Linked DNA regions of Schizosaccharomyces pombe. Changing the gene in region 2 together with the main gene of any one other region gives a genetic interaction. Each region holds a gene or a part of one and is shown on either strand. Other genes may lie near its edges. The genes, in order: spo3, dma1, cdc7 and mug27.

The links.
Region 1: of dma1 (region 2) and spo3, changing one enhances a phenotype caused by changing the other (phenotypic enhancement), as found in Schizosaccharomyces pombe (one study listed by BioGRID).
Region 3: of dma1 (region 2) and cdc7, changing one enhances a phenotype caused by changing the other (phenotypic enhancement), as found in Schizosaccharomyces pombe (one study listed by BioGRID).
Region 4: of dma1 (region 2) and mug27, changing one enhances a phenotype caused by changing the other (phenotypic enhancement), as found in Schizosaccharomyces pombe (one study listed by BioGRID).

The regions. Positions count from the first base shown.
Region 1 is NC_003424.3:2,051,260-2,057,677, forward strand, and holds spo3 (sporulation protein Spo3), read left to right. Parts: upstream 1-1,538; 5' UTR 1,539-2,685; coding exon 2,686-5,772; 3' UTR 5,773-5,918; downstream 5,919-6,418. Other genes in the region: btn1 (battenin CLN3 family protein), read right to left, coding at 1-393; V-type ATPase V0 proteolipid subunit vma11, read left to right, coding at 6,349-6,365, 6,405-6,418. UniProt on the Schizosaccharomyces pombe protein: Has a role in spore morphogenesis. Involved in the assembly of the forespore membrane.
Region 2 is NC_003424.3:2,357,507-2,361,763, reverse strand, and holds dma1 (mitotic spindle checkpoint ubiquitin ligase Dma1), read left to right. Parts: upstream 1-1,892; 5' UTR 1,893-2,390; coding exon 2,391-3,194; 3' UTR 3,195-3,736; downstream 3,737-4,257. Other genes in the region: mannosyltransferase Imt3, read left to right, coding at 251-1,321; Set1C complex subunit Shg1, read right to left, coding at 3,833-4,001, 4,067-4,188. UniProt on the Schizosaccharomyces pombe protein: Probable E3 ubiquitin-protein ligase which is a component of the spindle assembly checkpoint, required to prevent septum formation and premature exit from mitosis if spindle function is compromised.
Region 3 is NC_003423.3:3,221,797-3,228,515, reverse strand, and holds cdc7 (serine/threonine protein kinase SIN pathway Cdc7), read left to right. Parts: upstream 1-2,010; 5' UTR 2,011-2,085; coding exon 2,086-2,112; exon of another isoform or gene 2,113-2,164; coding exon 2,165-2,299; exon of another isoform or gene 2,300-2,340; coding exon 2,341-2,370; exon of another isoform or gene 2,371-2,419; coding exon 2,420-2,484; exon of another isoform or gene 2,485-2,531; coding exon 2,532-2,785; intron 2,786-2,835; coding exon 2,836-3,297; intron 3,298-3,337; coding exon 3,338-3,579; intron 3,580-3,647; coding exon 3,648-3,711; intron 3,712-3,748; coding exon 3,749-4,101; intron 4,102-4,142; coding exon 4,143-4,277; intron 4,278-4,313; coding exon 4,314-5,735; 3' UTR 5,736-6,165; downstream 6,166-6,719. Other genes in the region: serine/threonine protein kinase Ppk24, read left to right, coding at 229-1,162, 1,245-1,696; Ras1-Scd pathway protein Ral2, read left to right, coding at 6,335-6,719. UniProt on the Schizosaccharomyces pombe protein: Protein kinase essential for cell division. Plays a key role in initiation of septum formation and cytokinesis.
Region 4 is NC_003421.2:1,676,585-1,681,089, reverse strand, and holds mug27 (protein kinase Mug27/Slk1), read left to right. Parts: upstream 1-1,653; coding exon 1,654-2,262; exon of another isoform or gene 2,263-2,311; coding exon 2,312-2,761; exon of another isoform or gene 2,762-2,803; coding exon 2,804-3,619; 3' UTR 3,620-3,997; downstream 3,998-4,505. Other genes in the region: gamma tubulin complex linker Mto1, read left to right, coding at 1-1,166; cfh2 (chitin synthase regulatory factor), read left to right, coding at 4,134-4,505. UniProt on the Schizosaccharomyces pombe protein: Has a role in meiosis.

The DNA.
Region 1 (6,418 bases), 310 kb from region 2:
GCACGGTAAAGACACAGAGTGATAACGACTTGATAGATGCAAGAAAGAGATTTCGCCAAAACTCGATGAAATGGCTGCCAGAGATACACCAAGCATTTTCGAAGGGACGGAGGAAGACCAAGCAATCCATTGCATTCCTAATATGGACATGAAAACACAAAAACCGATTCTCTTTGCAAACTTAAATTTATGAACATGAAGAATTGATGCTGACAACTTGCACGCCAAAGAAGGAACAATATTAGAAAGTAGTACCACACCCTTAGAAACGTTTGCGCCAACCAAATCTAAGGCAGCGGATAAAATTATCACGTAGAGAAGGTTGTTTAACAATCCAAAAATTAGGAAGCAACACCCTACTTTCGCATCTTTTGTTAACCTCAATTTAATCATGATTCGTACTATATTTAGTAGAAACTGAGGTCATAAATTTTAGTTTGAACCGGCAATACGATAGTAGACTTTTGTAAAGTGCTAGTCTACAAATTTGCTGTTGTTTCGCAAATAGCACACTTTAAAGCCCTTCTATCGATGACTTCATAGACGAGTTAACTTGTTACAAACTGTAAATAGCGAGGATCAACGAACTGAAAAGCAAGTCGAGATATGTTTAACATTTATTATTCGAGTAGCAATAAGTTGAAGAAAAGAACTCGTAAGCGCTTAAGGGTACAAAAAAAATTGAGTTTTTAGTAACTTCGTAAGAGAAAGGCTACTACCCTTCACGAATGGCGTATTGAGCGATTGAATTATTACGGTAATGTTGTCAGGTTCAAAAGAAACCGATTTTGAATGTTACACTGTTTTTTCCAAGCAACCGCTATCAAGCTAAAGCTTACCCTACTAAAATTTCAACGACTAGTAACTGACATGCCTTGCTTGCTGTGATCGAAAAGCTCCTAGTTTACTCATGCTTCGGTTAGCACTTCTTGAAATCTCCCAGGAAAACAATTACAACATCTTTAAATATTCTATTCACGTGTCTACAGCTTCTACTTATGAAGTTATTGTTTTTGGCACGAGATTTATTTTGGTTTAATTCCGATCTTCGTTTGCTTATGTTTAAAAACTCTAAATCGTAAATCAAAACAAATTGAATATAATATCGTATGAATGTGTCTTTACCGAACTACGGTTAACATCGTTATTGCATTATCACTTTGCTCAACAATAATATAAAATAGTAATACGCATGTATCTACTATAGATATTTCGTATTGCTTAGTCAATTTTTTTTTTTTTTTTTTACTAAATGAAGGTTTGACGCTCCGTTACGACTGTTTATAATAACGAATTGGAAACCGAACCGAAAAATCATCTCGTTCATTATCAAATTTGCCTTGTTTGCTTTGACCCATAACACATTACATTTAACAGTAATGGGATCATTATGTTAGTTACTGGGAATTATATTATGCTTGATGCTGTACTACAAATTTATAATACTGTCCATAGAAAGTGCGATATTGGCGTTTTAACGAGCGTTTCGCTATCATTCTCTAGTTTACAAATCGCACCTCACCATGGTTCATAAATCCAGCAGCTACAGCAAACAGCTGTTTGCAGACGCACTTTAGAGTTTGAATTTTAGAATCTCTTTTAAGTAAAGCTAAGAGACTTATAATCTCTTAGATTTCCTTTGGTTTTATATTAACTTCAATGAGCATAATGAATTATTATGCGATCACAGTGCCATCGACATGTTTCAACATTTTTTAAGCACATGCTGTTAATACTATTTAATCCACTAAACTTACTAATGAGAGTATCCTTTTAATCTACTGATAAACAAAAGGAGTTTTCGTGCTGTAAAATGGTAATTTTACAGTACCACCCTCTCCCTGTAATCGAAAATGCATACCAGATATGATGATGCACTCATTTTAACTCTCTTTAAACTATTAAAGTATATTCCATCATTTCCGTACCCTCGTTTCAGAATGTTCATATGCGACTTGTATAAACAACTCATATAATCTGAATGCAAAACTTCCCTCATTGTTAGAGATGATCATGTGTAGATCATCAAGTAAAAAAGATGGACGATGTGCGCTTCAATGAGTTAACACTCGCATCAAGCTTTTGGTAAAGCCTTTGACTCCTATTTTTTTTGCTCAGCCTTGTTATATTTTGTTTAAACCAGTAAGAAACTGATTAATAAAAGTTTCCCCACACTTTTGAATGTTTTGTCGAATAAGCACTGTTTTTCTGTTTGTTTACAGAGTCGATTGTTTCGGTTTGAGTGATATTTAAAGCAGCATTTTTTTTGTATATATAGAGCCTTTAGTACGAACTTTCTTTTCTTTACCGATTGATTTTTGTCAAATATCATTACTGTTGCATTCTTATCTTCTTGTGTCAATATTTTTTTTTCGGCACCTTGTGCTTCTTCTGATCGCAATTTTGTTTAGTATCGATATCGCGATTTTTTTGACTCTTCTTTCTTTAACTCTGGAACGCTCTTATTAGGGTGTTGTATTTATTTATTTTTTTAATTCTGACCTATTCTAATCTCTTTCAAAGCGATTGTTTACGTCCTATTATATCAAAAGTATTCAAAATTGCCACGAATACTGTTTCATAATAAGTTTTTCTATAAGTCTTTTTGAAAATATTATATAAAATAATATTTTCTTGTTTAGTCTCAAAAGCCATTACCTCGTGGTAATTTGATTCAAAAATAAAATGGGGATTTTGTCTGTCATCAGAATTTTCATTTATTGCTTAATAAGGCTTTTCAGTTTTAATTCTCGAAAGAGAAACTCTTCAATTGATGAACTGGAAAGGGGAGAAATCAATGCGTTTGCTTGTGACAAACAAAACACTCCATCACCTAATAGCGAATGTCGTCCCTTAACACCTCTTAATTCTCCATTTAGGAGAACAGTTGAGGGAGACACAGCAAATCTTCAAGCACCTAGCCCTACTGCATGCCCTTCTTTTGACTCTGCTTCGTCTATCAAGTCAAGTAAGGAAGACATTGCTTGTCGTAAATTGTCGACAGAACGTTTTTTTTATTCACCTAATGGTATCGATGAAATGAAAAAACAGCAACAATTTAAGAAAATACCTACTGTTTCAATTACAGAAGTTGAGCCTGCTTTCATCCCTAGCAATATGGAGCAAGCATTATTTTCAGAAGAGCCATTTGTTATCCAGGATGATCTATCACATCAGATAAATTTGGACGACAACAGGAAATTTTCAAGGATTCAAAAAAATAAGCTTGATCCCCTTATAACAGTAAATTTGGTTCCTATTGTGAACGGTGAAAACTGCTTCAACTTTTACGAAACCCAAATGGAAACAAATTTTCTTTCCCCTGAATTTATTAAAAAGCCATCTATGGTTGATCACAAGCGAGATTCAGAAATTAATGCAGTTACAGCTGTTTCTGCCGACGGCTCCTTCAGTCCTTTGACTGAAACACTTTCATCAACAATAAGCACGTTGTCTAACGATTCCCTGGATGGACTAAGCTCTCAAAAAAACGAATTTACTGGATTTAATAGCAATAGCGAATGGATACCTAATGACACAGTTGATTACATCTGTAATAGCGATGCTTCCAGTGTTGTTAGTAATCTAAGTGATTTTGAAGACTGTTTTGATCAATTTGGTGTTTATGATAAGGAATATGAAAAAAAAATTGAGAAGACTAAAAGAAACTTTCCAAAGTTCCAGTCTTCTGCTACGTATCCACCTTTTTCAGCTCATCATCAAGCTAGGAGAAACAATCCTCAAGGTTTCCGAAATGTGAAAAAACGCTTTCAACTGTTCAAGGATGATTGCACAGCACTTACCGACTCAGACTTTCTTGACGCATTACCATTTTTTAATGCAAGGGTCATTATTGCACTATATGTCGAATGGCGTCTCCGTGTTTATGAGACAATGATAATAAAAGGTGAGGAATCACTAAAAAATCTTCAGCGAGCGCGAGATGGTCCTCACAATAAACTTTGGCTTGGTGTATTTGGAAATAAAGATACGATTAAAAAACTTTCAAACTATGATAGGAGAGCGATTTCGAACCCTTATGTGTCTAATCATTTAAACTTCAATGTTAGACGAGTTAAATCGGATACTGTTTACATTCCGACAATTTTGCAGCTCCTTAGAAGCTCGACCCAGCTGATGACTGAACAAGCCTTTGTCGCCTCGAGTAATCTAAAGTCAACAAAGGGTCTGAGGGAGACGAGATTAATCCAAAAATACAAAGTTAAGGGGGATTTTGAATATGTTTATGCTGCGTTATATTATGCTGCTTTCACACAGGAATCAACTTTAAAAGCTGTAACGATAGATGATATCCTATCTGAAGATGAACTTGAGGATTGGTGGTATTTAAATTTACGATACACTTCATTTATAACTCCGCAATTATGCTTTGAATTCCTCGACAAAGAAGCTGATTCCTGTCGCGATCGCTTAACCGAAGTTAAAAGTGAACCGCCTAAAGCGGTCATTTATGAAGAACCTTTAAATAAATTATCTCGATTTAGCTCTGACAGGCTTTTTACTAGTCACGAATTGGTAGCCATTGCAGAGTTAATATCATTAAATGAGCCGCCTTTAGAGAGCGGTAAAAAGTTTTACTATGAAGAGTTTCAAAAGGCATGCCAGAAAAAGAGAGACGACTATCGTTATTCTCCTGAAATTGAATTTAAAGCTGCTTTTCGTGAAAAGTTTCTTCAATCTAATGAGAAAGTCCCGTTTCCACGACCCGGTGAAATTTACGAAAAAAGGTGTGACTATTTTAGCAAATACGCATGCCAAAACATATTTATATCTAAACCTCTTAAGAGATCTGGTAGCATATACGAAGTCTTTTCAGACGGCATAGGTCGTGTTATATACGGTTCTGTTTTAGATTATGAAGCAACGAGAAACAACATTTTATTACATTTTGGGTTTGAAATTCATTGCGCTCCTTCAGAAGAGGAATTAATAGAGAGAGAGGAGGCATTCAAAGATTTTCACAATATGCTATCCTTTAAATACTCTGCCAATGAAATTTATGAGTTTTGTGGAACTCATTCTCGTGCTGAAGTACACAAAAATGAAGTACTGAAGCGTATGGCCTACTATCTAATTGACGAAAATAAAGAAATTAGCATACTACGAAGGATACTTTCTCTTCGGATTGTAGAGCCAACTACTTCGTTTACGAGATATGAGTACGATCTATGGAGAACGTTTTATCCAGATGTTCTGTACTTAAATTATTCGAAATCTGGAAGGATTCCGACCGGATCTCCCTATATTATGAACGGACAGTGGAGGAAAGATTTGTGTGTTAGCACTCCGCCAATGGTAGACATAAACAGTGCCTTGTTCCCTCATTGGTTTAAGCTTTCTGCAAGCAATCTTTTTGCTGGAGCAGAGCATGCTGGTTTGAATCGTCAAAAGCCTGACAAAATTGATCTTGATTTATATGAGCCTCTGCCCGAAAATTCTTATCTGGTGGCTGCAGAACTTCGAGTCCTTAGAGCCTTACGACATAAGAATCCTGAAAATATACCACTTTTAGAGAAGTGGGAAGTCCGTGCTTTGCATCAGCTAATGGCTAAGATCAGAAAGTATTACACAGTCCCGACCGATTATTTATCTTTACGGATGGATGGTTTGCAAGCTATGTTAAGAAAACGAGAATATATGTCTTGCTACACCTTCAATTACTTTGATTATGCATGTCTCATGGATCACGCTTACCGTTTGTATGAAGGATTCAACAACCAAGTTGTGAACCTTCCACCTCGCATTATGTAGTTTTTTAGTTTTTTGATAATGTTAACGATTTTTTTCAACACAATAATATATGTGACTTGTGAATATACTTTACATATATAACACGTATCAAATTAAATTAATTATACTCATTACTTATTTCAACTGGCTAAAACTACACAATTGCTCTTGATCGTAAGCAAAAGAATGAATGAATTTTTACATCCATTATGTTGGCACGCAAATGATAACTAAATACGAATAGGAGTTGAGAACTTGTGCCAAAAGTCCAAAGTCATCAATGTCTTCCATATATATTATTAAGATGTTTCTATTGGCATAATGTTTTTAATCCTATTTACAAGTTGTTATGTTACCTGTGGAAGCCCGCACATGATTTAAAGATTACTAGCGCATTCTTATATTTTTATTCAGGTATTCAGCATTTGTTCCTGGCATACTGAAGACCACTTCAATATTACCGTACCCTATCTGCATCTCTTTAATTCCACTAACAACGAAATTCAACGAAATACTACATCGACAAAGTGCTTACAATCACTGCGTTTTCATATAGCTTAGAACGTCCCGTTTGCATAACGAACATAACTAAACAATATGTCAAGTAATTTATGGTAAAGGATATTTTTCTTTTTCATTTCTAACGAACTAAGTCCTATATATTCTT
Region 2 (4,257 bases):
AGTATATACGTTTTATCTCACCTTATATTTTTTCCTTCCTCTTAGTCCAATTAATTACACTGCCTAAAAAGCAAGCAAAGAGTGAGAACCAAAAACTTGCCTCTTACTAGAATCTGTTAAAATCTAGCATTATCTAACTTCAACTAAAATACTTTTATTGCAAAATTTCTTTTTGTGTGCTGAATCTACCAAGCACGAATATACAACTGACCTGATTTTATTTCGCTGGAAGCGTATATTTGATGCCACCATGAACAAAATACTTTTTTACTTTTTTTTCTTTTTGACACTAATTCTTTCCGCTACTGTTTATCTTTTTGGAGGTCCAATGATGCTGTTCTTTATTAATTATAAGACAGACCTTCTTAAAGTTGATGACGTTTATAATCATGAAATTTATTCAAACCAGTCTGCTGCTATTCCTAAAATTATACATCAGACTTGGAAAACCAACGAAATTCCGGAAAAATGGGTTGGTGCCCAGAAAAGTTGCATTGATCTACATCCTGATTATGAATATGTATTGTGGACTGATGAATCCATGAGGGAGTTTATTGCTACTGATTATCCTTGGTTTTTGACTCAATATGATTCTTATCCTTACAATATTGAACGGGCTGATGTCGTTCGATACTTTATTCTTTACAAATACGGTGGAATATATTTGGATTTGGATGTTGGTTGTAATCGAACCCTTGATCCCTTATTGCATTATCCAGCATGGGTGAGGAGAACTTCCCCAAGTGGGATTAGCAATAATGTAATGGGATTTGCTAAAGGGCATCCATTTCTTTTACAGGTGGTCAGAAACCTACCTAGATTCGCGTTTAATTACCACTTCCCTTACCTAACCGTAATGTATTCGACTGGTCCATTGTTCTTGTCGATAATATGGAGTGCTTGGCGGAAGCTTCCAGATGCCGAAGCTTGGCATCATATTTGGGTGATGGTTCCCGAATTGTATGAAAAGAGCCACCATGCATTTTTTGAAATTTATGAAGGTTCATCATGGCACGATAGTGACGCTGGATTTGTATTCTATATGTTGCATCACTGGGCCATTTTTACATTTCTTGGTTTTTTGACGTTTTTCATTGTTGTATATTTTATATTTGGCTATGCTTTGAAGCCTGCCGCTCGTGTCTCCCGCACTGGTCGACGGGTATTTTCATCTCCGTTTTCTAAGACATCTCCGTCCCGTTGGAAGATTTTCCATCGTTTCACTTCTTCCAATGAAAAGTATGACCAAACTCGTTCTGATTCTTTACCTTTCATGTCTGATTATGATTTGGAATCGCAAACTCAAAGTCACAGTCCCTAAAATTACTCGGCATTTGCTACTACAAAGGCTTCATTTGCTTTGAAGTTTTGACCTGTCTATCTTTTCATTTTCATAGAATTATCATAAATCCTTGTATTTCATTTAGTTTCGTTCTAGTTTTCTAATATAGTCTATTAAAAGCAAGTAATTTCACAATTGTCTACCGTGATCGGAAAGGGATATATACCATGAAATGACTCAAGTCCAAATCTATAAAAATAGAAATGCTAAAGATATTTTCGGAACTACTCATTTCAACTTACTTTTTGTTTGATGGATTTTCAGCTAAATTCTAAATTATACTAAAACAATAAATTATTCAACATAAAAACGGTGTTGCTTAAGTCCATCTGTATGGTGAGACAAAGATAGACAAAATACCATCATCGTCATTGTTTATGCGACGCATCTAGTTTTTTATTTGTTTTTATTATTTGTTTTGTTTTATTTAATGCACAATTACTATACCGAAGAAAACATTGTGTTGTACCGTAAGTTGGATACCGAATTAGTCATGCGCCTTTCGAGGCGGCATAGCATTAACTGTATTCGTTTGCAGCACCATTTGACCGTTTACTGTGTGCAATTTACTTGTTCTACTAAATTGGCTTCATAATTTATAACATATTTTTCTGATAACAGCGAAAACTATCATTTTTTCGATTGCTTTTCATTTACAGCTAAATTCTGGTTGATTATTAAAAGTGTTTCTTTTCGGAATTAAAGTGTGCAATTCAGTTAAGAGTTCTGTTTGCTGTCCTTCCTTAGCTTTCAACAGTTTGTTTGTTTTTGAGGCCTTTGTTTTCGTTTTTGTCTCTTGTTGCTTCCAAACTTTAATACATAAACACAACAACCCCATATACTTTCGTATTTTGTTAGCAATAGATTTGAAACTTACCTTATCTTCAATTTACTAGAAGGAAGGCATATTTCTTTGAACTTTTTCTTGGATAACATCAAATTGGTATACGGAAGACAATTTTCAAAAGCTTTTAACATTAATTTATTTGTTTTTTGTAACTTTCTATCCTCCATTCAATTGTTTTAATAAAGCTTTTCTTTCCAAAAAATGACAAAATCTGTTGAGGGATACCTCAAAGAACAGGAACTTGCCGCTGAGACTGATTCTGAAAAGGACGACGATAAAATATCAATTCGTTTAACTAACTTTGTCGGTCCCAATGCACATTCTTTCTCTTTTGATCCGTTAGTTCGCTACTGGAACCGCAAGCAAAATAATCTACCCATTTACATAGGAAGATACACAGAGCGATACAACGGCGGTGATGTTTCTGCTATTGTCTTCCGTTCCAAAGTTGTGAGTAGAAGGCATGCACAAATATTTTATGAAAACAATACTTGGTACATTCAAGATATGGGTTCTAGTTCTGGTACATTTTTGAACCATGTTCGTTTATCACCGCCGTCAAAAACGAGTAAGCCTTATCCCATCTCGAACAACGACATATTACAACTTGGGGCGGATTATAGAGGAGGTCATGAAGTCAACTATCGTTGTGTTCGTGCCCGAGTTGAGCTAAACAACTCTTGGAAAATTAAGCTTAGTCCTTACAACCTTAACGAATTCAAAAGAATGCAAGAACTGGTGTTATGCGGATCTTCTGAATCGGGTCCTCCGGAATGTTGTATATGTCTTATGCCTGTTTTACCTTGTCAAGCATTGTTCGTTGCACCTTGTTCTCACTCTTATCACTATAAATGCATACGCCCAACCCTAAACGAAAGTCACCCATACTTCAGTTGCTTTATATGTAGAAAATATCATGATTTGGAGGCTCCTGTTGAAGAAGGTGACGAAAGTCTAAATGACCTTCTACGAAATGCAACGGTAAAAGACGATGCATCTGAGTAAACTGTTATTTTCAGTATGGTTACTAATTGTCTTTTACGTCCTCAAGTTCTTCCTTTAATGACCATCGTAACATAATGATCATATTATATTTAGTCTTTATGAGCATGGCAGAAGATTATGGGAACACAGGCTCTTTGACATTTGCTGTTGCCTGATGATTGAATTAAACAAGCATGCCTCCCTAACTTTATTTATCAACACTCATAATGATTAAATATTTTATTGATGAGAAAACCAAGTGCTACTTGGTCTCTTTTATTCATTACTGCATTAATATAATTATCCTAAATGGATATATAATCTTAACTTCTGTCGTCCTTCACACCTGATCTCTACATACTCTCACATTTTTTTATTTTTTTTGAAACATTGGCATCACAAATGAATGTACTAATAATCAGCAGTAATAGAGATCCGAATCTGAAAGAATTGTGGTTGTTCTTCTGAGAGTCCATTTATTATCTCCTTCAGCATCATTAAATGTTATAACTTTTAATTCACTTCTTATGCAACCTAATGTGATTGCTGGTAAAATTCCCGAGAGTACAATTCTTAATTGTAATAAGTATGTTCAGTATATGCAATTTAGAAGTAATCAATAACAAAACTTTTTCAAACTTTTAAGTAGCTAATTATCTTCATTTGCGCCCATCCATGGTTTTACTATTCAGCAATTTTTCTTCATCCTCATGCTCTATTTGTTCAATCCCTATTTGTTCAAGAGAATTATAAATAACTTCCCTCAAATCTTGATCAGATAAAACATTGCTTCGGATGTGTTCCATGCTATCTTCATACAATGAAGATCTTATGGGTTAGACTGAGTTTCCAAAAAGAAAAGAAAAAAAACCATTATTAAGTCGTAAGCTTACCTATCTACGGCACCTGCAATTAAAGGAGCAGCCCTAAACTGGTCTTTACTTTTGAGTGTGCGATCTTTCACCATTTCTTCATCAATGATTTTTTTCAGCCGATCTAATAAAGGCCCTGATTCCTGAGGCGATGTTAGTATGGCAAAAGAGTGAGTGACATTGGTATCATTATGATAGTTAAAAAAAATAGT
Region 3 (6,719 bases), on a different chromosome or scaffold from region 2:
GCATTCGTGAGCATATGATTTTGGAAATTTCGTTTCTTTCAAAGACGTTATGATTACAACTATGCAATTTTGAGGTTGCTAACACGTAACTCTTTATCTAAACAGAATAAATGATGAGGTTGTTCTGAAAACACTCTTTTTTTAGTAAGAAAATAAAGAAGAAGTACATAAAAAATCAATCAATTTGAAGTCGTAACTAGGCTTCTTAGCTTCAGCGGCTTGTCACTAATGACTAATTATCCTTTTTTTCGCCAGGGGACAATTTTCGTGGACAATTCAGCAATTCAAAGGAATTCAGAGAATAAGAATAGTCTTTCGATTGAAAATATTTTTGGGAGATTTCCTAAAGAGTTCTTCCAATTTTTTTCAATAAATGTTTCTAAATCAACAACCAAGAAGTCTTCCGTCGTTATAAAGCCAAGTACAATTACTGCACCATGGTTAGAAAATGAATACTTAGACAGTAATACTAGCTTACTTTCCGTTCATTCAATTCAACCTTCGTTTATTGGAATGTCTGACTTCGCAATTGGATTAGATCCTTCACTGAAGCGTATATTACCCGAAATAAGATTTCGCTTAGACTTTCAGCATCTAAAATCAATAGCTAAAGGGGCCACCTCTACAATCAAGGTTGTAACTCACAGAGATAAAATCACCGACGCAAAGATATACTATGCTGCCAAAGTATATCGGAAAACGAAAACATCGCATAAAAAAAGATTGAATACAATGGTTTATTTTTTAAGGGAATGGTCAATCCAACCAAAATTGGACCATCCTAATATTCTGAAAGTTATCTGCCCTTGTGTGACTTTGACAAGCGTATTTAATAAATCCGCTGGGTTTTGTTTGGTTCAAGAGTACTGTCCTCAAGGCGATTTATTTAAGCAAATTGAAGAAAAAGTTTTGACCTTAGAAGACAAATGTTGTTATCTAAAGCAAATTCTTCAAGCAGTAGCTTACTTGCAATCTCAACGTATTGCGCACCGAGATTTAAAGCCGGAAAACATCTTAATCGGAAGGGATGGATTGTTAAAGCTCACCGATTTTGGTACCAGCGAAATTGTGGGTAATCCTGGTGATAACGAATCCATTCGTTTCGTATCGGGTGCTGTTGGAAGTTTGGCATATCTAGCACCAGAAGCATTTCATGAAAATGGTAAGTCTTATGTGTATAAATTGTGTAGCAAGACGAGCTCTATCCTATTTCAAAAACGACGTACTAATAGTTCAATTGATAGAATATTGTGGTCTTTTAGCAGATAGGTGGTCATGTGGTATTTTGCTTAAAGTTCTGTTTACTGGATACTTTCCATTTAAAACTTCCGTGAAAACTGATCTTTACTACTCAAAGTATATGTCAATCCTTACAGATACTTGTGGTATTTCTTCAACTGATGAATCCAGTTTCCAAACCGAAGTCATTAAACAAATACCTACATTGCAGCCCCTCAGATATATACCTGAAGGTGCTAAGAAGATTATACTAAGTTTACTGAATCCTGATTCCCAGAATCGGCCGTCGTTGGATAGTATTTTAGGTACTGCATGGGTACGGAAACTGGATTGTTGCAGTAACTTCTCTACCGATCATGAAAATAAGAGTTTACAGGAAGTTGATTTTGATGCTTCTAAACCCATTACAAGGAAAAGTTTGATTCCTCGGATTCATAACCATCAGACACTTGTTTAACGTAGTTTAAATCACTGTCTTTTCTACTTTACTTTCCAAGCTAAAATGAACTCATTCTTCCTATGTACATGGTGTTTCCACTGACATTACTTAACCAACGGATTAGTTCCATCCTTGCCAATATTTTTTATATGTCTGTATAATACGCTTTTTCTTTTATACGAGAATCTTTGTTTATTAATGATTTTATAAATAGCTTAATTATTACTATTTACTTCTTTTGAGTTTATAACATGCAAGTTCAGGTACCGTACTAAATGTGTATGTACACTATAAAGTCCTTACTTCTTCAAACGCAGCAAATGCTACATCGTAAACAAAACCAAATTGTCTTTTCATTCAAAATTACAAATAAATTCAATTTTTAATTTGTAACTTATTCAATAGTCATGCACAATATCCAAGCATCTTCCATCGTATGCTAGTATTTAATGTTAATAGCCATTGGATTTTCAATAACATATTCAGACTCTTGGGGATTGCTTGGGCAAGGGTGCCTTCGGTGCAGTATACCGTGGTCTAAATATAAAGAATGGAGAAACGGTGGCTGTAAAAAAAGTTAAACTATCCAAAATGCTAAAATCTGATCTTTCCGTCATTAAGGTATGAAGGGATCTCAACTATTTTTCTCTAACAATTTTTAGATGGAGATTGATTTGCTTAAAAATTTGGACGTATGTTACTCATTCGTTTATAATGGTCGCCAAATACTAAACGTGGTAGCATCCAAATATTGTTAAATATAGGGGATCTTATCAGACGAACGATTCTCTATGCATTATTCTGGAGTACGTGATTTTCTTTAAAAAATTGTTTTCAAGTTAACGATATATAGATATTGCGAAAACGGATCGTTGCGCTCAATTTGTAAAAACTTTGGAAAGATTCCAGAAAACCTAGTGGCCTTATATACGTTTCAAGTATTACAAGGGCTACTTTATCTACATAATCAGGGTGTTATCCATCGTGATATTAAGGGTGCCAATATACTTACTACTAAAGATGGCACTATCAAGTTAGCAGATTTCGGGGTTGCGACGAAAATTAATGCTTTAGAGGATCATAGTGTTGTTGGAAGCCCCTATTGGAGTAAGCCTTTTCTAAGCGTATAGTTATAACATTACTAACAATTTATATAGTGGCTCCCGAGGTTATAGAGCTTGTAGGCGCCACAACAGCCTCAGATATTTGGAGTGTTGGCTGCACAGTTATTGAACTGTTAGATGGAAATCCTCCCTATTATGATTTAGATCCTACGTCCGCTCTTTTTCGGATGGTGAAAGATGAACATCCTCCCTTGCCTTCAAATATTTCTTCGGCTGCTAAAAGTTTTTTAATGCAATGTTTCCAAAAGGACCCAAATTTACGAATTAAGACCAGAAAACTTCTTAAACATCCTTGGGTGATAATGAACCAAACCTCCTCTAAATTTTCTGACGCTATAGACGAGGTTCAAAAATATAATGAAAGAGTGAAAGAAAGCACTTTGACAGCTATTATCGAGCCTACTTCCAACAGAATCAATCCGACTCTTCATTCTGGCAGGCAGTCTTCTTATCACATGCCTGAGTCTCCAAAAACACCAATTGCCGAGTCCCCAGGTAGCTTTATGATACTTTTTAACTACTCTAACATTTTTAGATCATGATAACTGGGACAATGAATTTCAAGGAACCCTTAAAATCAGTGACGATGTTTTAAAGAAATCTGAGCATTTTATGGATTTTTGCAGTAACTTTAAAGGAAAAAATAATTCCAGCTCCATAACATCATCCCCTTCGAAGTCTCGCCATGCTTTTAATTCAGATCAAATCTCTGAATCAAACAACTTTAATGCATCACCGTTGAGTACTCCTCTCAAAGCCCAATTTGATCCCTCTAAGGTAAATAATGCAGCTCGATTTTCTAGAGCTTTTAATGATTTTAAATAAATAATTAACCTTTTTTTTAGCCCGCTCTCAACCGGTCAATAGATCATCAAAAAACTCCGCAACATAAAAGATACTTGTCAACTGGTAAGTATCTGATACTAACATATAACTAATTATCTAGAGTTTAAAGAGAATATACCAGACGGAATTGAAAAATTTGTCGAGACACCCAGAGATAGTGAATTTACTGATATTTTCCCTACATCCTCAATCAAAGTTCAAGGATTGAGAAAGGAGACTGGACTGGGGACTTTGGTTTTAAACAAATGTTATGGCTCGTGGAATAATGAAGAAAATGAGGATGGGGAAGAATCGGATATCTTTGACTCTATTGAAACAAACTTAGAAAACTTGGATATTGAAAACAACATTGCTTTAGATAAGAGAACGCATCTAGCTTCCTTACTTTCCAGTCTGTTAGGCTCACTACGTGACAAGAATATCGGATCGAAGGATACAACTGTTTCGCAAATAGTAAGTGCATATTTTTATATTGATAATTTAACTGACAATAGGCTTCTATACTTAGTGAAGATCTTTCTCTAAAACGAGAGATAATACAAGCGCATGGTATCCTTCCACTTTTAGAGACATTGCGCGAAATAAAAACGCCTGATGTTCAATTGCTGTTATTAAAGCTCATTAACACTGTAAGGATATTTAATGCGTGATTTTACTAACGTTAGGTTGCATTCGATGATCACACAACTTTACAAAAAGTTTGCTTTGCTGGAGGTTTACCGCTTATGTTGTCATTCTCTAATCGTGAACACTCTTTTGAGTTTAGATATGAAAGTGCTATCTTTATTCAACAGATGTATAGAACTTCTGCTTTGACATTACAAATGTTTTTGAGCTCAAATGGTCTGAATTCGCTTTTATTATTTATTAAAGAGGACTATGGAACGAACCGTGACTTTGTTTTTGTTGGCGTAGAAGGAATATGGAAATTACTGAGACAACAGGATTACATTCCAAAAAATGATATCTGTACGATGGTTGTAAATGATTCACTAGAGCCCTTGACCAAAGCCATGCTGAAAGCTTTGGCTACTGACGATGATTCTTCAAGAATGTCATTAACACGTATATGTGAAATTTTATTGGCTTTATCTCAGGCTGATAATTATGTTAAGGAATCACTTCTTTGCGAAAGTGCTCTTCGAAGGATATTGCGTATTCTGCTTTATCTGCCGCATTCTGATATGGCGATTACCTTACAGTTTTTCAAGCAACTTTCAATGGTTCCTTCATCTTTGTCGCTTCTTAGGAAAGTTCATATAATACCTCTTTTGACACATATTCTCGGTGACAGCAAAATTGAGAAAGGACGAAAAGAAATTAGAAGCGAAGCTTTGGCCGCTTTATTCAATGTGTGTAAGCTAGATAAGAAATCGCAAGAAGAGGCTGTTATTTCTGGTGCTATTCCATTATTGCAAGAGGTGATTATTAAAGACAGACTGTTTAAGGAGTTTGCGCTGCCGATATTATTAGCTTTGCCACAGGCTGGTCCAGTGTCGAGAATTTATCTTTGGCAAAATAAATGCTTAGATTTTTTTCTCTCGTTATTATCAGATCTTAATTGGCAATCTGCGGTATTTGATACGATCGCATCTTGGTTGCAGTTTGAACTCCGTGAAGTACAACGTGTTTTGGCAGAGAAGAGAAACGTACAATTAGTGTTAAAGGTGTTCTGTATTTCTCAATCAGCTTCCTCAAACAGAATGCTAGATACTTTGGGCAGGGTTTGTCAAATTTCCCCAAGATTGGCAGCCTCTTATGGCCAGCCTATAATATTCCAGAAATTTAAAGAAAAGTTAACTCATAAGGGGACCAAGCCGATTGTGGTCCTAAACATATTTCAAATTATGAAATCAATGTGTGAAGCTAGTAGCCAAAGTGTTGCTTATATTGCGCATTGTGGTTTACCAGATGTGGTTGCAAATTTGAACCAAACAAGTGATTCTGTGCTTGTTAAAGAACTAGCAAAAGACCTGCTGAAATACCTGAAGGTACCACAGGGTCCCATCAATGAGCACAAATCCCCCATTTCGAAACCGCATATGCCTCCACCTAGATGGCAACCAAAGCAGCCATTAACGCAGTGAACACTATTAAACGCATTTCCCAGTGCACGACTATATTACTTGTTTATGATATTTCTGTATTTATGGCTTAATGATTAATAAATAAGGTTGGGATTATGGAATCAATATTTTTTAAACGAAAGTTTTGCTAATTTTAATATTAATATATTATCATTCCATGTGTAAGTACGTTACCAGTTGTGTTTATACCTGAAATACAATCTAATTGAGTACCGCAATGAAGACTATTTATTTACCGAATCTATATTGATGAATCTTAGAAACGTTAAGAGAAAGGTTTATAATATGCTTATCACAGTGTATATTTATATTTATTCATTCAAGTGCTTCGAATTTTAAAATCTAGGTGTGCATAAAAGTTAACTTCACTATATCAGTTAACGCTACGATAGTGCAATACAGGAAGAAATATGCACTAAAACAAAAGGACAACAATGATTTTTATGCTTCTCATTTTTGGCTATTAATTTGCTGCTTTGTTTATTGCATAAATCTTTTTTGACTGTTTGCATTTCAGTAATTATTAATTTTTATGTGGAAGGAAAAATCACTTTTTTGATATTTCTTATTAACGTCGAGTTGCTAAACAGTTTATATCTATGTCAGAAGTAAAAAGGAATATATCTTTGAGAAATTCAACAAACATTTTTACTTCTACATTTAGTTTATCTTCAAATAATGTCCCAAAACCGCTGATTGGGGAGTCAGTTATAAAATATGGAGACGAGGCTTTTGTATATGGAGGACGCGATGCATTAAATGCGCAGCTTGTTAATGATATGTATGTAGTTGATCTTAACACTTGTTCCTGGAAGCAAGTTGAATATCAAGGAAATCAAAAGCCGATACCACGGTATTTCCATTCAGGGGATTTATGGAATAACAAATTAATATTCTTTGGTGGTATGGGATTTAATGATGATACAAAATGTCTTTATGTTCTTAACGACATCGACATATATGATATTGAGACTAAGCAATGGT
Region 4 (4,505 bases), on a different chromosome or scaffold from region 2:
AGGAAAGGCACAATGACGAATTAGATTCATTAAATAAAAAACTTCGTGAATTTGAAGGTATATTGTCATCAAACTCTTCTTTAAAAAGTGAGATTGAGGAAAGAAATAATCAATACGTTACCCTTCGCGAAAATTTCGATTCTTTGCAGAATGCTATTATGGAAACATTTGATAAACAGGTCACCCACTGCTCGGTTAACCATTTGGTACAACAGATAAGAAAACTAAAAGATGAGAATAAAAAGGATCAGTCTGGTACTGATAAGTTGATGAAAAAAATCTACCATTGTGAGCAAAGTTTAAAAGAAAAAACAAACTCTTTGGAGACGTTAGTGTCTGAAAAGAAGGAGTTAAAGAACTTACTGGATGCGGAAAGACGATCCAAAAAAGCAATCCAATTAGAGTTGGAAAATTTGTCTTCACAAGCTTTCAGAAGAAACCTCTCTGGATCTTCCAGTCCTTCTGAAAGGAGTCAATCTAGAGAACTTAAACTTTTACAAGCATCTGAAAAACGCCTTAAAGAGCAAGTGGAAGAAAGAAATTCCCTCATAAAAAACATTGTCACTCGTTTTACCCAACTGAATACGGGAAGTAAGCCTGTAAATACCAACGTTGAAGCATTGACGACAATTTCAAGCATGAATCAGGCAGTAAATATGAATTTTAGGGAGTTGGACAAATCCATTCAAGAATTCAAACGGAAGTGTCAATCAATGGAGCGGGAATTTAAGACCGAACTCAGGAAGCTTGATGGTGTACTTGAGGCTAGAAGTAAGCGTTTATCACAGTTGGAAGAACGAGTGAAACTTTTAGGCGCTGGGTCAACTTCATCTATTCCAAATTCGCCAAGGGCTTCAAAACGCGTTAGTTTGGATTCCGAGGATAAAAAGCTTGTTCCCGCTTCTCCAGATAAGTCAGCAGTTCAAAGAGGTATCACAGCTTTGAAACGAGATGCTGAAGGAATGAGCCATATATGGCAGTTGAGACTAAGAGAGATGGAGTTTCAACTCAAGGCTGAGCAAGAAGGTCGTAAAAGAGACAAGTTGGGTGCCAGAGAAAGGCTTCAAGATTTGATTCGACAAAACAGGAGTCTTTCAAGGCAAATAAAAACGGATAAAGAAAGCAATTCTAGGTCTCCTTCTATATCATCACAAGAACATAAATAATAATCTGGATAGTTTGCGGTTGAAGTATATAGCTTTTCTTAATCACCAGTACATATCTACTTAGTTGGAGAATTTAATTGACAAAATAAGCTAATTCCAAGATTTATATTTATTTTTTATTTTTTTTTGTTCTCGATTAACCATTTTGGTGTTTGTATCTCCCTGATTATAAAGGAAATAATCACACATATTCGTAAAAAAAATTTATTTTAATCGCGCAAAAGAATTCGAAATATAATTTTTTATTTAACCTTTTTTAAGTAAATTTTACTGCGCATGTATCATCTTTGTAAAAATTCCCAGAACCCGGTGTTTGTTTACATTTGCTGGGAGAATCGAGTTTTATTCAGGCACAACGTGTACTCAAAATAAATTTCAAAATTGAGCTCACATAAACTTGAATAGGAGCAAAAAAAGGAAAGAATCCATTGCATGGAAAAAGCAATTCACTTGGGACAATTTTATAGAACGATTCCACAAACATAGAATGGACCTACTGGGCCTTAAAGAATTAGACAATAACAAACTAGTATCAAAGGCAAAAGAAAATGGAGTCGAATTTTCTGATTTATTTTTACTATCAAGCGGCTATTTACGAGACAGGGAAAATGCGTCAGCAAGTGTGTCTTCGAAAAATGAACGCATGGTGCTCAACGAAGAAAGACAAAATTGCTGGACGAAAAGAAATGATCCTAAAGGTTTAACTTACTACCAATTACTAAAGCCCAGTGAAGTTGAAATACTTAGTCGACCCGAGACAAGAAGAAAGCGGATGGCCTGTCAAGTTTTCTTCCTCAATTACTATATTAGCACAATTGAGTACCATAAACTAAGGAAGGAAAGATTGGAAGAATTTACAGCGTGTACATCGTCATTAAAACAATCTAAACAGAAGCGACTATGGAAAGAGCATTGTGGAAGGGAAAGAGCATTTTTGAGAAAAAAAAGAACCAAGATTCAATGTAGCCATTTCGATTTATTAGTAAAGCTTGGACAAGGAGGATATGGTTCTGTGTGGCTTGCTAAAAAGCGCAACACACACGAATTGTTAGCAATGAAAATGATGAAAAAATCAACATTACAGCAACTTAATGAAGTAAGAAGACACTATTAAAGATCTTAAAAGAAAACTAACAACGGCTCAGGTGAAACACATATTGAATGAAAGAGATATACTAACGAATACTAATTCCGAATGGCTTGTAAAACTGTATTATGCCTTTCAAGATAAGGAAAAAGTATATCTAGCAATGGAATACGTCCCTGGAGGAGATTTTCGAACTTTTTTGACTACCAAGGGGCTTTTGCATGAAAATCAAACCCGATTTTACCTAGCAGAAATGGTCGCTGCAATCAGTGCAGTCCACAAACTAGGTTATATGCATCGTGATTTAAAGCCCGAGAACTTTTTAATTGATCAAAAGGGACATATCAAGCTTAGTGACTTTGGGCTAAGTACTGCAATTGTTACATCGAATCAGGTAAATCGACTTCAACATGCACTAGTGAGCGCGGTTAATCCTCAGAGACCTTATTTAACACAAAAGCAAAGAAGAAACATTTATAAAGCGCTTTTGGAAAAGAATGAGAACAAGGTAAAGACATTTTGATTCAAACGTAAACTAAAAAAAAATTAGGTAAATTCCGTTGTTGGATCTCCTGAATACATGGCTCCAGAAGTTGTTTACGGAAAGAAATACGATAGGACCGTAGACTACTGGTCACTTGGCTGCATATGTTATGAATGTCTGGTAGGATATCCTCCCTTTTCTGGGTCAACGCTCCAAGAAACGTGGACTAATCTATACTACTGGCGAGAAATGTTGCAGAGACCCTCCAAAAATGAAAATGGAATTTACGACAAAAAAGCGAGATCGGTTTCAGACGAGGCATGGTCTTTCATCACCAAGTGTCTAACAGAACCAACGTCAAGATTTCAAAGCACAATCGAAATCCAAAAGCATCCATTTTTTAAGAGACTCCATTGGAACGGTTTGCGGAAAAGAGCTGTGCCACCATTTGTTCCCCGCTTGGAGAATCAACTTGATACTTCCTATTTTGATGATTTCAATGACGAACAGGTACTAGATGCGTACAAAGATGTGTACGAAAAGCAAAGGAAGGCAGAGCAAAAAGCAAAAAGCAATGGAGTTATGAACGGTAATCAAAGACAATTTCTTGGTTTCACCTTCAAGTATCGACCCAACGCAAGAAAGCCACTGGTGGGTCGGCATCGTGAAAAGCGACAACTTCGCAAAGAGAAACCGGAGAAGAAAAATAATAGCACTAAACAAAAGGATTTAATCACCGTTAGTCATAACAAAGGCACCACTGCTATTGAGGACCTGGATGAGGACAAGCGATCAAAAACAAAGGGTCACAAAACTAAGTCATCAAGAGTCCATCGGCTTCTGGAAAGAAAAGGCAAAGACCTGTATGAATTTTTGCTCTAAATCCAGATAATAACGCATCAATTACCATTGAGAAACGCCGAAAAGTCTCGTTATTGCGACATGAAAAGCGTTCTGAGCCACAGCATATTCGGAATCGATGAGCCAAGCAGCGTATTCCGCTCGAAACTAATCAGCATATTTCTCCATAAAAGGGAGATATGAATATTAATTATAAGTAAATAGTTAATTCTTGACTGTTTAGAGAGAACTGCATCCTTAATCCAGCTGAAAACCCACTAAAATTTTGAAAATTCTACTGTAAACGTATCTTTCTTGTAGGTAGATCAACCTGTACGCTTAAAAGTAGTTTATATTCAAATAAACTTTTAAGTCCGACGATATAACGTCGCTTCGTTAGCTTCATGACGTGACCCTCGGATCGAGTCATCAGTTTGACAGATAAATTTTTACCCTTCACCTATATCCAGTTGCAGCCTTGAATTCAATTTTCATTCCTCGCTCTTTGAAAGTGAAATAGAAGATAGAAGGCATTATAACCATTAAAGCCATAGAAATGCTAGTTAGCAATGGCGGCACTGGGAGTGCTCACGAGTGGGACAGAACGACAATTGATTATGATATCGAGCCTAGCTCAGACACCCATGCCATTGAAATTAGCTCTAACGATGATTATCTTCATCCTTTGGCTCAGTTTAAGAAATCGGAAGAGTTTGACGAAGTACCTACCAATACCCTGATTCATGAAGTACCGTCATTTTCCGATTCTGCATCGAATATTCAGTCACAGCGAAATCTTAGCCCCTTCAAAGAGCTCGAAATAGTGTCGAAAAAAAAATCGGAACAGACGTTTTCATCTGCCGTGGATTTTTCCGCTATCAACGTGAAAAATTTAAATTTAAAGAGTGGTCTTTTCGATCCTGAACCG